Mus musculus: one gene and its partners. The protein of the gene in region 1 purifies or fractionates together with the protein of each later gene. This does not show direct contact. Links are inferred from orthologs where the notes say so. Each region holds a gene or a part of one and is shown on either strand. Other genes may lie near its edges. The genes, in order: Crnkl1, Ppie and Ccdc12.

Region 1 (3,647 bases):
ACTTAGCCTGTTTCACCAAACATTGCTGTTTCTCACTGTGTTTCCTGTCTAGACCTTGACTATACTGCTCATGACCTTATGAAATAATTGCATGCTGTCTCTAAAGACTGTACGATAACTTGAGAACATCATTGCTTTTCCTCTTTTTATGACCAGAAGGTGGCCCATGATAGATAGATGCCTAACAACACAGGAGGACATTGCAGCTACTGTGAGGTGGCTGCTGCATATCTCACGGTTGCTGCCTTTGATGCTCTCCATATCTTATTTGTTAAGGGCTCGATCCATATACGAGCGTGCTTTAGATGTCGACTACCGAAATATTACCCTCTGGCTGAAATATGCAGAAATGGAGATGAAGAACCGCCAGGTCAACCATGCCCGAAACATCTGGGACCGTGCCATCACAACTCTGCCACGCGTCAACCAGTTCTGGTAAGCTGCTCATTGCACAAAGCAGTCTTTGTGAACTAGCAAATACCACTTGATTGGGTATTAGGTTTATTGCAATTATAATAGTTGTATGTGTTGATTATTATATTCTATTTTTTTAAAATATATATACTGATTTTTAATGTCACATAATCTATGAATCATAATTCTAATGTCCCATGGCTATGTAATCAAACTTAAATGTTTAGTACAATTTTTTATTCATAAGAAACTTCTTAATGAAGCCTTCCTCCCCTATGGATAATTCTTTTTCAGGTTTATATTTTAATAAGAAAACATTTGCTTAAACATCTTGGAAAGATAAAACTTAAAATCAACCAGGCAGTGGTGGCACACACCTTTAGTCTCAAGACTTAGGTGGCAGAGGCCCACCTGGTTCCAGGATAGCCAAAGCTACATAGAGAAACCCTGTCTTGGAAAAACAAAGAAAACAAAACAGAAAAAAAAAACCTTAAAATCTTTCATTTAACAAAATGTTAGAAGTGTCAAAGCGTTACTTTTCCTCCTGAGTCATTTTGACCACAGCAGGCGTCTTTGGATGATTTTGTCAGGTATAAGTACACATACATGGAGGAGATGTTGGGCAACGTTGCTGGTGCCCGCCAGGTGTTTGAGCGCTGGATGGAATGGCAGCCTGAGGAGCAGGCCTGGCATTCCTACATCAACTTCGAGCTGAGATACAAAGAGGTGGAGCGGGCCCGCACCATCTATGAACGCTATATCCTTTGAATAAGGTATTAGTGGTACATGGCTGTCATGGGTATCTACCTCCCAAAAAGATGTCACAGTAAAGACATGTAGCTACTAATGTGACATTGGAAACTAGGAAGGCAAGTTTCGTCCCTTTGACAATTTTCTGTAGGGTTAGAAACTGGTCAAATAAAAATGTGTAGACTGGGTCATTTGAGTCTTTTCAGAGATATTGTGGGTTCGTTTTTGGGTTTGCACAAAGTCCTAGCTGCTAGAACCAGAGGTCTGCATTGCTCATTGGCACTGCTAATGGAGCTCATCAGAGTTGACTGCTTACTAGCTGCGACTCCAGCTAATAAATGACTCCAGAGTCATCTAGTTCCTTGAGCCTTTGTGTCTTTTCTATACAAGAAAAATTAAAAACTAAACATGGTGAAGTCTAGGTATATACTCATGTATAGAGCATGTGCCTAACATATTTTGAGACCCTGAGTTTAGGCTTCAGCACTATAGAAAACAGACCAATGTTAACAAGTGGAAGATGGTGTTTGTGAAAACACTGTTAGAAACGGATCTGTGAAGCTCATCACCCAGAGGCGCCTTATTTGCAAATTGCCACACTTACTGAAATTTATTTCGAGTTCTCAATAATTGCTATGCTTTAGCAGTCATTTGCAGACATGTATAGAGCAATGGCTGAAGTCTACTTCAGCAGTATATAGTGATGCCTGAGTGTGAAGTCAGGAGCAACCCACTGTGTCCACAAGGAGTGCTCTCCCTCTCTGAAACCAGTGGATCAAGGTTCTGACACCTGCAGAGAGAGGGACAGCCTAAAGCTAGTTGCTTGGTGCTCTGAGCCACAAACACATGAGTAGATGACTTAGTTGCCGAAGTACTTGGTGCACAACAGGCCCGTGTTTGGATCTGTAGCACGCATTTACAAAGCTGCACCCAGCATATATCTGTAATTCCAACACTGGGGAGGTGGAGACAGGAGGATTCCAAGGCCTTTAGGCTAGTCAGTCTAGTTGAATAAGTAAGCTCCAGGCTCAGTGAGAGGCCCCATATCAAATAATGAGGTGGGGAGCAACTGAATAAGATACCTGATGTCAGCCTCTGGCCTCTTGCACCCATATGTGCTTGTGCGTACACACACACACACACACACACACACACACACACACACACACACACACACACAAGAAAATAGGATGTGCTGGCTTTAGAATTTAACACTGGTCTGTGGGAGATGTGTGCACGCATATTCCTCCTAGGATCAGTGGCTTGGCATTCAGTGGCTGAGAGTTCTTACTGGCTTTCCAGAGCTGCTGTAAGCAGTGAGAACCTTGCTGTGCAACATTAAGATCTTCAGTTGTCTCTACTCATTCCATAGTGGCTTAGCAGAGGCTTGAGGAACACTGGGTTTGTAGCTGATGGGACCCTGAGCTCTTACTACTGTCAGTGCTTGGGAAAACCCTGAAGTGCAGGAACTACCCCATTCAGCAAGTGCGGAAACTGATTAAGCAACTTGATGAGGGTCTCAGGTGGTGGCACTAGGGGTATTTGACCCAGGAAATGAACCTCAGAGCTGATGGTCTTAACATCCTTGCTCCCCTTGAGTGTATTTTCCCTGTGGAAATGATTTGGCTTCTTCAGGGAAGGCTGATGTGCTCTGGTAATAAATGGCAATTGAAGATTTGTCTTTAGCTTTAGATAGCAGCTCTCTTTTTGTGGCAGTTTGTTCTTTCGTTGTGAGTAGACTGTTGTAATGAGCATTTAATGGAATAGGTGCTTTTTATTGGCCATGTTCTTTTGGCCAGAAAGTGCTAAGCTTTATAAACATTTCCTCATTTCATTAAGCAATGATGGGTGAAGTTGATAGTATTTTTCCCTTTCCACACATGAAAAAAACTGAGACAGACATTTTTGTTGAAGATCACATGGTTTGTAACTGGGTTGAGGTTTTCTTTGGCTTCAGACTGTCCCACTGCTACAATACCGAGTCAGCGTTGAAGGGAGGTCAAAAGAGTAAGGTGACCTCTCAGGCTATAGGTTAGTTGCTAGCCTCCTTTGTGTGTGCTCATCCCCACTTGTATTTGGAATTGTTGGAGTTTGGGAGGTTAGTAAGAGTGGGGGTCTGTTGTGTGGGTGTTGAACCTTTGGCATGTGCTGTGCATGCGCACTGCCACTGGGCCAGCCTCAGCCTGTTACTGGCTTAGCCGCGTTGTCCTGCCTGCTCTTTCCTTCACTCCCTGCCCGTACTTGTGCTCGTGCACCCTGCTGTGAAAAACTGGATCAAGTACGCAAGATTTGAAGAGAAGCATGCTTACTTTGCTCATGCGCGGAAAGTCTACGAGAGAGCGGTGGAGTTTTTTGGGGATGAGCATATGGACGAACACCTCTATGTGGCCTTTGCTAAATTTGAGGAAAACCAGAAAGAAGTAAGTCACAATGAGTTCATCTCTGTTTCATTTTATTTGCTTATCCATAGAGAAAATGTTTTC
Region 2 (3,484 bases), on another chromosome or scaffold:
TTCCATATTGATCTGAGGTCTTGCCTCGTGCCTGCCACAGATGCATGCTCTGACTCCCTCCTATTACAGAGTCCATCTATCCCTCCTGGGCTGGATGGAGTCTGTCCCTCTGCCACTTAGGATCTTCATGTCTCCTGCTGGCTCCCTTTGACTTATAAACTGTGTTTCCCCTGTTCAGCTAGTTTGGTCCATCAGTGACCAGGCATGCAATCTCAATCTTAAAAAACCCAATAACCACCTTTGGACTCTTGTTCCTTCCACCAGCATCATCTTGACTCTCTACTTTTTAGCAAAACTTTTTAGAAAAAATGTATAAACTCACTGCCTTCATCCTTTCTAAGTCCTTCTATCTAGATTTTTAGCCCCAGCTGGCCATGCAAACCTTTCTTTCTTTTTTTTTTTCGAGACAGGGTTTCTCTGTGTAGCCCTGGCTGTCCTGGAACTCACTCTGTAGACCAGGCTGGCCTCGAACTCAGAAATCCCCCTGCCTCTGCCTCCGGAATGCTGGGATTAAAGGCGTGCGCCACCACGCCCGGCTACACGCAAACCTTTCTTGCTAAAGATACTAACCATCTTTTTTGCCAATAGCCAGTTTTCCGCCTCAGCTTATTCCAGCGTGTCAGCATTCTGTGCTGACAGTGCCATACTCCTGCTCTCTCTGTCTCTGTCTCTCTGTCTGTCTGTGTCTGTCTCTGTCTCTGTCTCTCTCTGTCTCTCTCTCTCTCTGTCTGTGTCTCTGTCTCTCTGTCTGTCTGTCTGTCTCTGTCTCTCTCTGACTCTCTCTCTGTCTCTCTCTGCACTGGCAGGCGGCCCCTCCATCTTCAGCGGCTTCATCTGCTTTGCCACCTTTCTGTCGTGCTGCTTCCTCCTGTTCCATTACTGAGCACGATGGTGGTCAGAGATGAGTTCATTTCTCCCTAGGAACCTGTCCACTGCGCCTCTGTTCTTCCTGCAAGCTTGTGCTAGACTGAAGTACAGGGCCAAGAAGTTCTTCCTGCCTGCATTATCTTACAAGAAAGTATGTCCTGACACACTTTCACAAGAGTTATTCCAACGTGTGCCGCTCAGATGTTAGAAGACAGACAGGCTGTCGCTGGCAATTTGGATACCACAGATGGTATTGCTGGTGCTGACACAATTTTGTGAAATGATGTATAGGATTACATTATAGTGTTAATTCTTGAGTTATTTTTCTTGGTTTGTTTTTGAGACAGGATCTCACACTCTGTAACCATAGCTGACCTGGAACTTGCCATAAAGACCAGGCTGACCTGGAAATCACCAAGATCCACCTGCCTGAGGCTCCCAAGTACTGGGATTAAAGGCGTACACCACCATACCTGGTTTGCTTTTTGAAACTGGGTCTTAGAGTGTGACTCAAGCTAGCACTGACCTCTGGATACTCATGAGTGCTGAGATTACAGACATGTACTGCTGCATACGGCTCCCTAGAAGATTTCACTACACTTAAAGTTTGCCGTTTGTGAAATATAATAGACTTAGGTCTTAACTAGAAAGGTGGCTCAGTGGTTAAGAACACTTGCTGCTCTTGTAGAGGACCCTCAGGCATCACAGGTTAAAATGGTTCTCCTTCAACTCCCTTTATGTCTGAGTTTCAGTAGATAACTGTTCACTTATGCCTGATCAGGGGTTGGGACTCATCTTGGATTCATTTCCCCTGTCACCCTAGTTGCACCTTGTCTCTAGTTCATCTCCTGGCCCAGCTTTCCTCCTTCCCTCCATGTGACTGTCTTAAGCTTCTCCCCAGCACAGATGTCCCTGCATCTCAGTTGTCATAGCACAGTAGCCTTTACAAGAGATGTACTTATCATTTGGGTTGGTTGCTTGTACCAAGTACTTTAAGTGAGGGTCCATGCAGCACAGTCGGTGTGGAGGTCAGAGCACACTTTGAGGAGACAACTCTTTCCTTACCATAGGTTCTGGAAATGAAATGCAGATTGTCCAACTTCCACAGCAAGCTCCTTTCTCTGTGGACCCATCTCCCCAGCTCATACACTTACACTTTAAATAAATATTTTGCTCATCAGTGTTTCAGGATTTAATGGGCCTGGTTACAAAATAGACTGCAAGTCATTGTTATAAATGAAAAGACAAATAAATGTGAAGGAAAAAATAAAAACGGAAACAGCCCACTCATCCTTTTTCTGTAGTGAGGGAAAGACAAGGTGCTGTGTCTGTTAGGACCCTTCCATGGCCTGAGCCAGTATGCAGAAGCACCGGCAGCCATCAGCACATGCACCATGGGCTGGGAGCAGTGTGGAGGGAGCTGACAAGTTTATTTTCTCCTAGGCCTCCTCTCCATGGCCAATTCTGGCCCGAACACCAACGGCTCCCAGTTCTTCCTGACCTGTGATAAGACAGATTGGCTGGACGGCAAGCATGTGGTATTTGGGGAGGTCACGGAAGGCCTGGATGTCTTGCGGCAGATCGAGGTGGGTGGTTGGAAGTTGCTTCCTGCCTGGACCTTGCGTGGGTGGGTGCCCCAGTGGGAGAGTTGGGGAGGGCTCTTGATGTCCTGGAAGGGGGCATTTAGAGCAGGTCCCTGAATGTCTGGGGAGAGGATGATGCTCTAGCGGCTCTCGCATCCTGCGTCTCTCCTGATTTCTCTGTTCTGCCCGCACAGGCTCAGGGCAGCAAGGATGGGAAGCCAAAGCAGAAGGTGATGATTGCCGACTGTGGAGAGTACATGTGAGGCTGCGCTCTCTGCTCCACCTCTGTAAGACGAGGGGAACTGCCTGGTCTGGGCCCTGTGCAGCAAGCTGTGTAGAGCACAAGCCTTTCCTTGGGGTCACCTGCCTTAGCAGCTGCTCATCTGCAGTGCCCAGGCCTTCTGCAGGCATGACTGGGCCTGAAAGCCAGCATAGGCAGTGTGCTGCCGCCACCTGTCCTGAACTGTCTGTAGCTGCTAGGTGGCTTCTTTGCTAAAATAAACTGCTTGTTTTGTTTTTTTTTTTACTGTTGCCTCCTGCAAGTTGCTGAGAGTTGTCTGTTAGAGATCACATCCAAGGCTAGGCTGTCCCCTGAGTGGGGTGGCATGTTTGGAAAGCTGTAATACCTTCCCTGTGGCTTTGTTTCCTTCCTTCCTGGGGCTAAATCCCTTATATGCCAGGTCATCTTTATGCCACATGTCCTATCAGATCATGTCAGGGCAGCGGAAGTCAGAGCTGCTTATCCCTGTTGCCGGTGCTCCTGAACCAACGCTGCCTGTCTGGGGGTGGCCTTGGTGGCTCCCATGTCTAACGTTCACGTTACATTCTTCAGGTCTTTAAAATGGTAGGTGTAGTATGCCTCAGCCAGCTCTGCCAGGTACTGGCTTCTTTTCAGGAGACCAAAGGTTGGCACAGTACCCGGGCATCCAGCAGCTTGCTGCTTGTTTCTTTGAATTAGGTTTTTATTGAGACACTGCCATATCCATTTAAGTTCAGATGCTGCCTGTGGCTTCGTTCTCTCTACAGCGATAGAA
Region 3 (4,401 bases), on another chromosome or scaffold:
TCTGTGACTATGATCTTGCTTTAATCCCAGGCATGGGATCAGAGGCTGCTTCACTGCAGGTGAAGATGATTTGCCTGGTGCTCTAGCAGGGGCATCATTTTTACCAGCTGCAGATAATTTGATTCTGGGGACTCTGGAGATGGTAAAAAGGAGAGAGTCCTGAGAGGACTGGCAGCCGCTCTGGGTTCCTGCTGCTGTGGTGTGTCAACTGGTCAGGAGCAAACAGATGAGAAGAAGTTGTGGATATCCCGACAACAAAGATAGCCCCAAGGCACTCAATGCCCGTAATCAGCAGGAAGTAGTCTACTCTGTTGGCTGAAATATGTCCACAGTACCTTCCCCTCTAATCTTCTCTCTCTCCTACCTAGTGTTGGGGGGAATGGAAGGGATAAGCGTGGGATAAGGGTTGGCAGGGAGGTAAAGGTGTAAAGAGCCCAATAAAATATTAAACAAACTCTCCAACCCACGCTCCTGGCCAGAGGAGAGGTAAACCAGATGGCTTCTGGGAAATAACCAGACGGCTTCCGGGAAATTCCAGCACGCAGTTAAAAGCTCCCCAGCTTTATATATAAATATATACAATATAAAACCCAGCTTGCTGACAATCCCATTAGGAGGTTGGTAACAATGGCGCACACCTTTAATCCCAGCACCTGGGAGGCGGAGGCAGGAGGATTTCTGAGTTCAAGGCCAGCCTGGTCTACAAAGTGAGTTCCAGAACAGCCAGGGCTACACAGAGAATCCCTGTCTCAAAAAAAAAAAAAAAAAAAAAAAAAAAAAAAAAAGAAAGAAAGAAAGAAAAAGAAAAAGAAAAAGAAATTCAAGGTCTTCTGTTTCTTGGTGGGTATGAAACCAGTGCCAGACTTCAAGAAATCCTATCTCAAAAAACAAAACAAAGACAAAACAAAACAAAAAGCCTACACAAGACACCATCACAGCTGAAGAAACTGAAAACAACTGAAACGGAGAGGCATGCTCACAGACTGGTTATTTTAACATATTTAAAATGATGACACTGTCCCAAATGACTTACAGATTCAAGGCAATCCCTACAAAATCTCAACAATGCTCTTTACACAAACAGGAAAACTCATTCCAAAATTCAGATAGAATCTTTTTTGTTTTGTTCTTTTGAGACAGGATTCCTTTCAATGTGTCTCCAAGGCTGGACACCAATCCTCCTGCCTGAGTCTCTCAAGTGCTGGGACAACAAGCACGCACCACCGCCCCTAGCTTCACGTGGAATCTTAAGGGGAACCTCAATAGCCAAAACAACCTGGAGAAGGAGCTAAGGTACACCATTTAGACTAATTTCAGAACTTACTGCAGGCTGGGTGTGGTGGAACAAGCCTCAATCCCAACACTTGGTAGGCAGAGGCAGGAGGATCTACAGGGCTTGTTGGCTGCCAGCGTAGCCTAAACAACCAACCGACCAACCAACCACAAGCTTCCGGCTCCTGGAGAGAACCTGCCTCAAGAGTATCAGAGAGAGTGACAGATGAGGATGAGAGCCAAGCCTGCGCCTCCCTGGGTCTGAAGGGCAGGAGGGTAGTCATCTGATGGGTCTCTAGGCTGCCAAGGAAAGCAGAAGCCTGCTGGGCCAGCGGTCGGTCGCTCTCACTACTTCCCTTTCGCTTTCTCATAGTATGCTACAAGGTAGGCAGCTATTCCGAAAGGAAAACAAAGCCAACCGAGACTGACCAATCTCGGTTTTTTTTTTTTTTTTTTTTTTTTTTGTTTAGTAAGTCGGAAGTGGAGTCTCTGATTTCCTCCACCTCTGCCAAATGTTTTTTGTTGTTGTTGAATGAGGGACACCGTTTTTTGTTTGTTTGTTTGGTTGGTTGGTTTTGTTTTGTTTTTTTGCCTATGTAACAAAGAGCCAACATCTTCCAGCTTCCCATGCTGATGTTCTCAAAAGAACTTCAATAGCCAAAAAAAAATGGTCTTGAGAAGGAACTAGGTACACGACTTAAGACTAATTTCAAAACTTACTGCAGGTCAGGTGTGGTGAAACAAGCCTCAATCACTGATTTTCCCTATTATATGGCAAAATAACCCACAAAAGTGACTGTGTTATTTATTCCTCTACTGGAGAAGTGAAAACACAAACACAAAAACAAACAAACAGGCTTAGGAACATGAAACAATTTGTCCTAAGTCTCACCGTGTCGAAAGACACAGCCAAAATCTGCACACAAGTAGTGAATTTCATTTCTTTGGAAAGACCAGCAAGTAAGGATGAATCCAGACCATATTTCGGTGGCTACCGAAAGGAAGGAAAAGTGTTTTTCGAATCTGGCAACTAATAGGACTAGTAAGCCAAGACGGGAAAGAAACGGCAGCCTTCTTTCCCTGCAGTCCACCCAGAAAGGTCACTAGCTGTCCTACCCAAGGGAGCCCTGGTGGTAGGTGTTGGAAGGCACGGCCAATGGGGCCAATCAAAAACTTAAACAAACAAATAAACAAAAAAACCGCCGAGCCCAACAAACATGTAGTTAAAAGCCGGCCTTGCAACAACTACCATGATGGATAAAATATCTGGGTTGTCGCCCGAAAACGACTTCCTAAGGCGCACGCGCGAGCTCCGCCCCTGCACTCAAGAAACGAGCCTATCTCAGAGGTCAGCGCCGTCCCACTGCGCATGCGCTACGCGCACGCGCACTTTGGCTTCAGTGGTTCCCTGGTAATCCTCCGCCTTCCCACTGGCCCAGAGCACTGGCCGCCATACCCGCAGCTCTCACTCCACCGTGCCTCACCTTGCGCCCGGTTTTCTCCCGGAGGGCCTTCAGCCGTTCTTTCCGCCGCAGCGCCTCTTCCTCTAGGCGGCCCACACCGGCAGGAGCAGCCGCCATCTTTTCGGAGGCCCCCACCTCCTTTTCACTTCTGCCTCGCGCAGGCTCAGTGAGCAGGAGAATGTCTTACGGCCAATCCAAGGGAGACAATGGAGAGCCGGAAGCCCTGAGAACCAATCAATGCTGAGTTGATACAAAAGTCCACGCCCCTTGATCTGGAGCACCTGTACAGCGAGTGAGCCGGCTGGGTTGTGGGCAAAGGCGTTAAGATTCGATTTGTCCGACACTTAATTTGTGAGAAAGCAAATAGAATCAGACCTGAGAGGAAGAGAATAGAGAGAGTCGATTGCTCTGGTTTTGCCTAACCACCACCCACCTCTCCTAACTGCCCTCTTGGAATATTTAGCCATCCTTATCCACTTGTGCCAATTCTTCAAGAGCGAATGCCTTGAGAAACATTCCCTGAGCCGGGTGAGGTGGTGCACGTTTGTAATTCCAGCACTTCAGAGGCTGAGGCATCAAAATTATGGGGTCGGGTTCAGTCTGGGCTACGTAAGATAACCTTGTCTTAACGCACCACTACCAGACAAACACCCAGAAACCTTCCTTGGCCACTCTCATTCCCAACTCACTCTGAGGTCAGCCTCTCCCTTCTCTACAGAGTGCCAGTGGCAGCTTGCACTCACTCGCCTGATGAGTTGTTGCGCATAAGCCTTGCTATCCACTCTCTGGCTCCAGAACTGCTGAGTTCGAGGCCTGGCTACATGGCCTTTTCCTTTGAACTCAAGAATGATCTCGCATCTCTTTCGGGAGCTGCAGCATAATCAGAGTCAGGCTACCTTACCTGCTTAAAAGCAAATAGCAGCCGGGCGTGGTGGCGCACGCCTTTAATCCTGGCACTTGGGAGGCAGAGGCAGGCAGATTTCTGAGTTCGAGGCCAGCCTGGTCTACAAAGTGAGTTCCAGGATAGCCAGGGCTATACAGGGAAACCCTGTCTCGAAAAACAAACAAACAACAACAAAAAAAAGAGCAAACAGCAACCAGGGCCGAATAAGTGCCACTGAATTACTCTCTCCTCCCAGTATAAAAAGAGGTTGACGGAGCCGGGCGTGGTGGCGCACGACTTTAATCCCGGCACTTGAGAGGCAGAGGCAGGTGGATGGATTTCTGAGTTGGAGTCCAGCCTGGTTTCCAAAGCGAATTCCAGGATAGTCAGGACTACATGGAGAAATCTTGTCTCACAAAACAAAAGGAGAAGAAGGAGTTTGACTGCGGCAGATGGTCACAGATGCGTTTGCTTCTTTTCTTCTCCTCCTCCTCTTCCAGGAGATGGCAAGCCCATGAGCAACGTGGCTCCCTGTCTGGGGCTTCTGTTATAAAGCTGGCCCAAAGGAGAATGATCTTCCCTAACAGCTCCCTTCAAATGTCACCGTTTCCTAAGCTCGGTGTTATCCTGGGTTAACCTGGTTCTGTCTGGGACCTTCCCTTACAGTAGGAGACGGGGTGGCTGCCAGCCCCTGGCATAGAGGGTATCTGTGCTCAGGAAAGGTAAGCTCATACTAAGATGCATAGGGCGCTTCATACTGATCGATCCCTAGGACCAATAGGA

Evidence for each region.
Region 2: the proteins of Crnkl1 (region 1) and Ppie purify together in Homo sapiens (affinity purification with mass spectrometry; 3 studies listed by BioGRID and IntAct, counting the BioPlex papers as one, with this or other methods). This does not show direct contact. The link is inferred for Mus musculus from reciprocal best matches to the Homo sapiens genes CRNKL1 and PPIE.
Region 3: the proteins of Crnkl1 (region 1) and Ccdc12 purify together in Homo sapiens (co-immunoprecipitation; 3 studies listed by BioGRID and IntAct, with this or other methods). This does not show direct contact. The link is inferred for Mus musculus from reciprocal best matches to the Homo sapiens genes CRNKL1 and CCDC12.

Annotation. Positions count from the first base shown.
Region 1 is NC_000068.7:145,928,058-145,931,704, reverse strand, and holds part of Crnkl1 (crooked neck-like protein 1), read left to right. Parts: intron 1-276; coding exon 277-435; intron 436-1,004; coding exon 1,005-1,171; intron 1,172-3,405; coding exon 3,406-3,584; intron 3,585-3,647. UniProt on the Homo sapiens protein: Involved in pre-mRNA splicing process. As a component of the minor spliceosome, involved in the splicing of U12-type introns in pre-mRNAs.
Region 2 is NC_000070.6:123,126,607-123,130,090, reverse strand, and holds the end of Ppie (peptidyl-prolyl cis-trans isomerase E), read left to right. Parts: intron 1-2,310; coding exon 2,311-2,453; intron 2,454-2,644; coding exon 2,645-2,713; 3' UTR 2,714-2,976; downstream 2,977-3,484. UniProt on the Homo sapiens protein: Involved in pre-mRNA splicing as component of the spliceosome. Combines RNA-binding and PPIase activities.
Region 3 is NC_000075.6:110,655,014-110,659,414, reverse strand, and holds the start of Ccdc12 (coiled-coil domain-containing protein 12), read right to left. Parts: upstream 2,913-4,401; 5' UTR 2,853-2,912; coding exon 2,757-2,852; intron 1-2,756.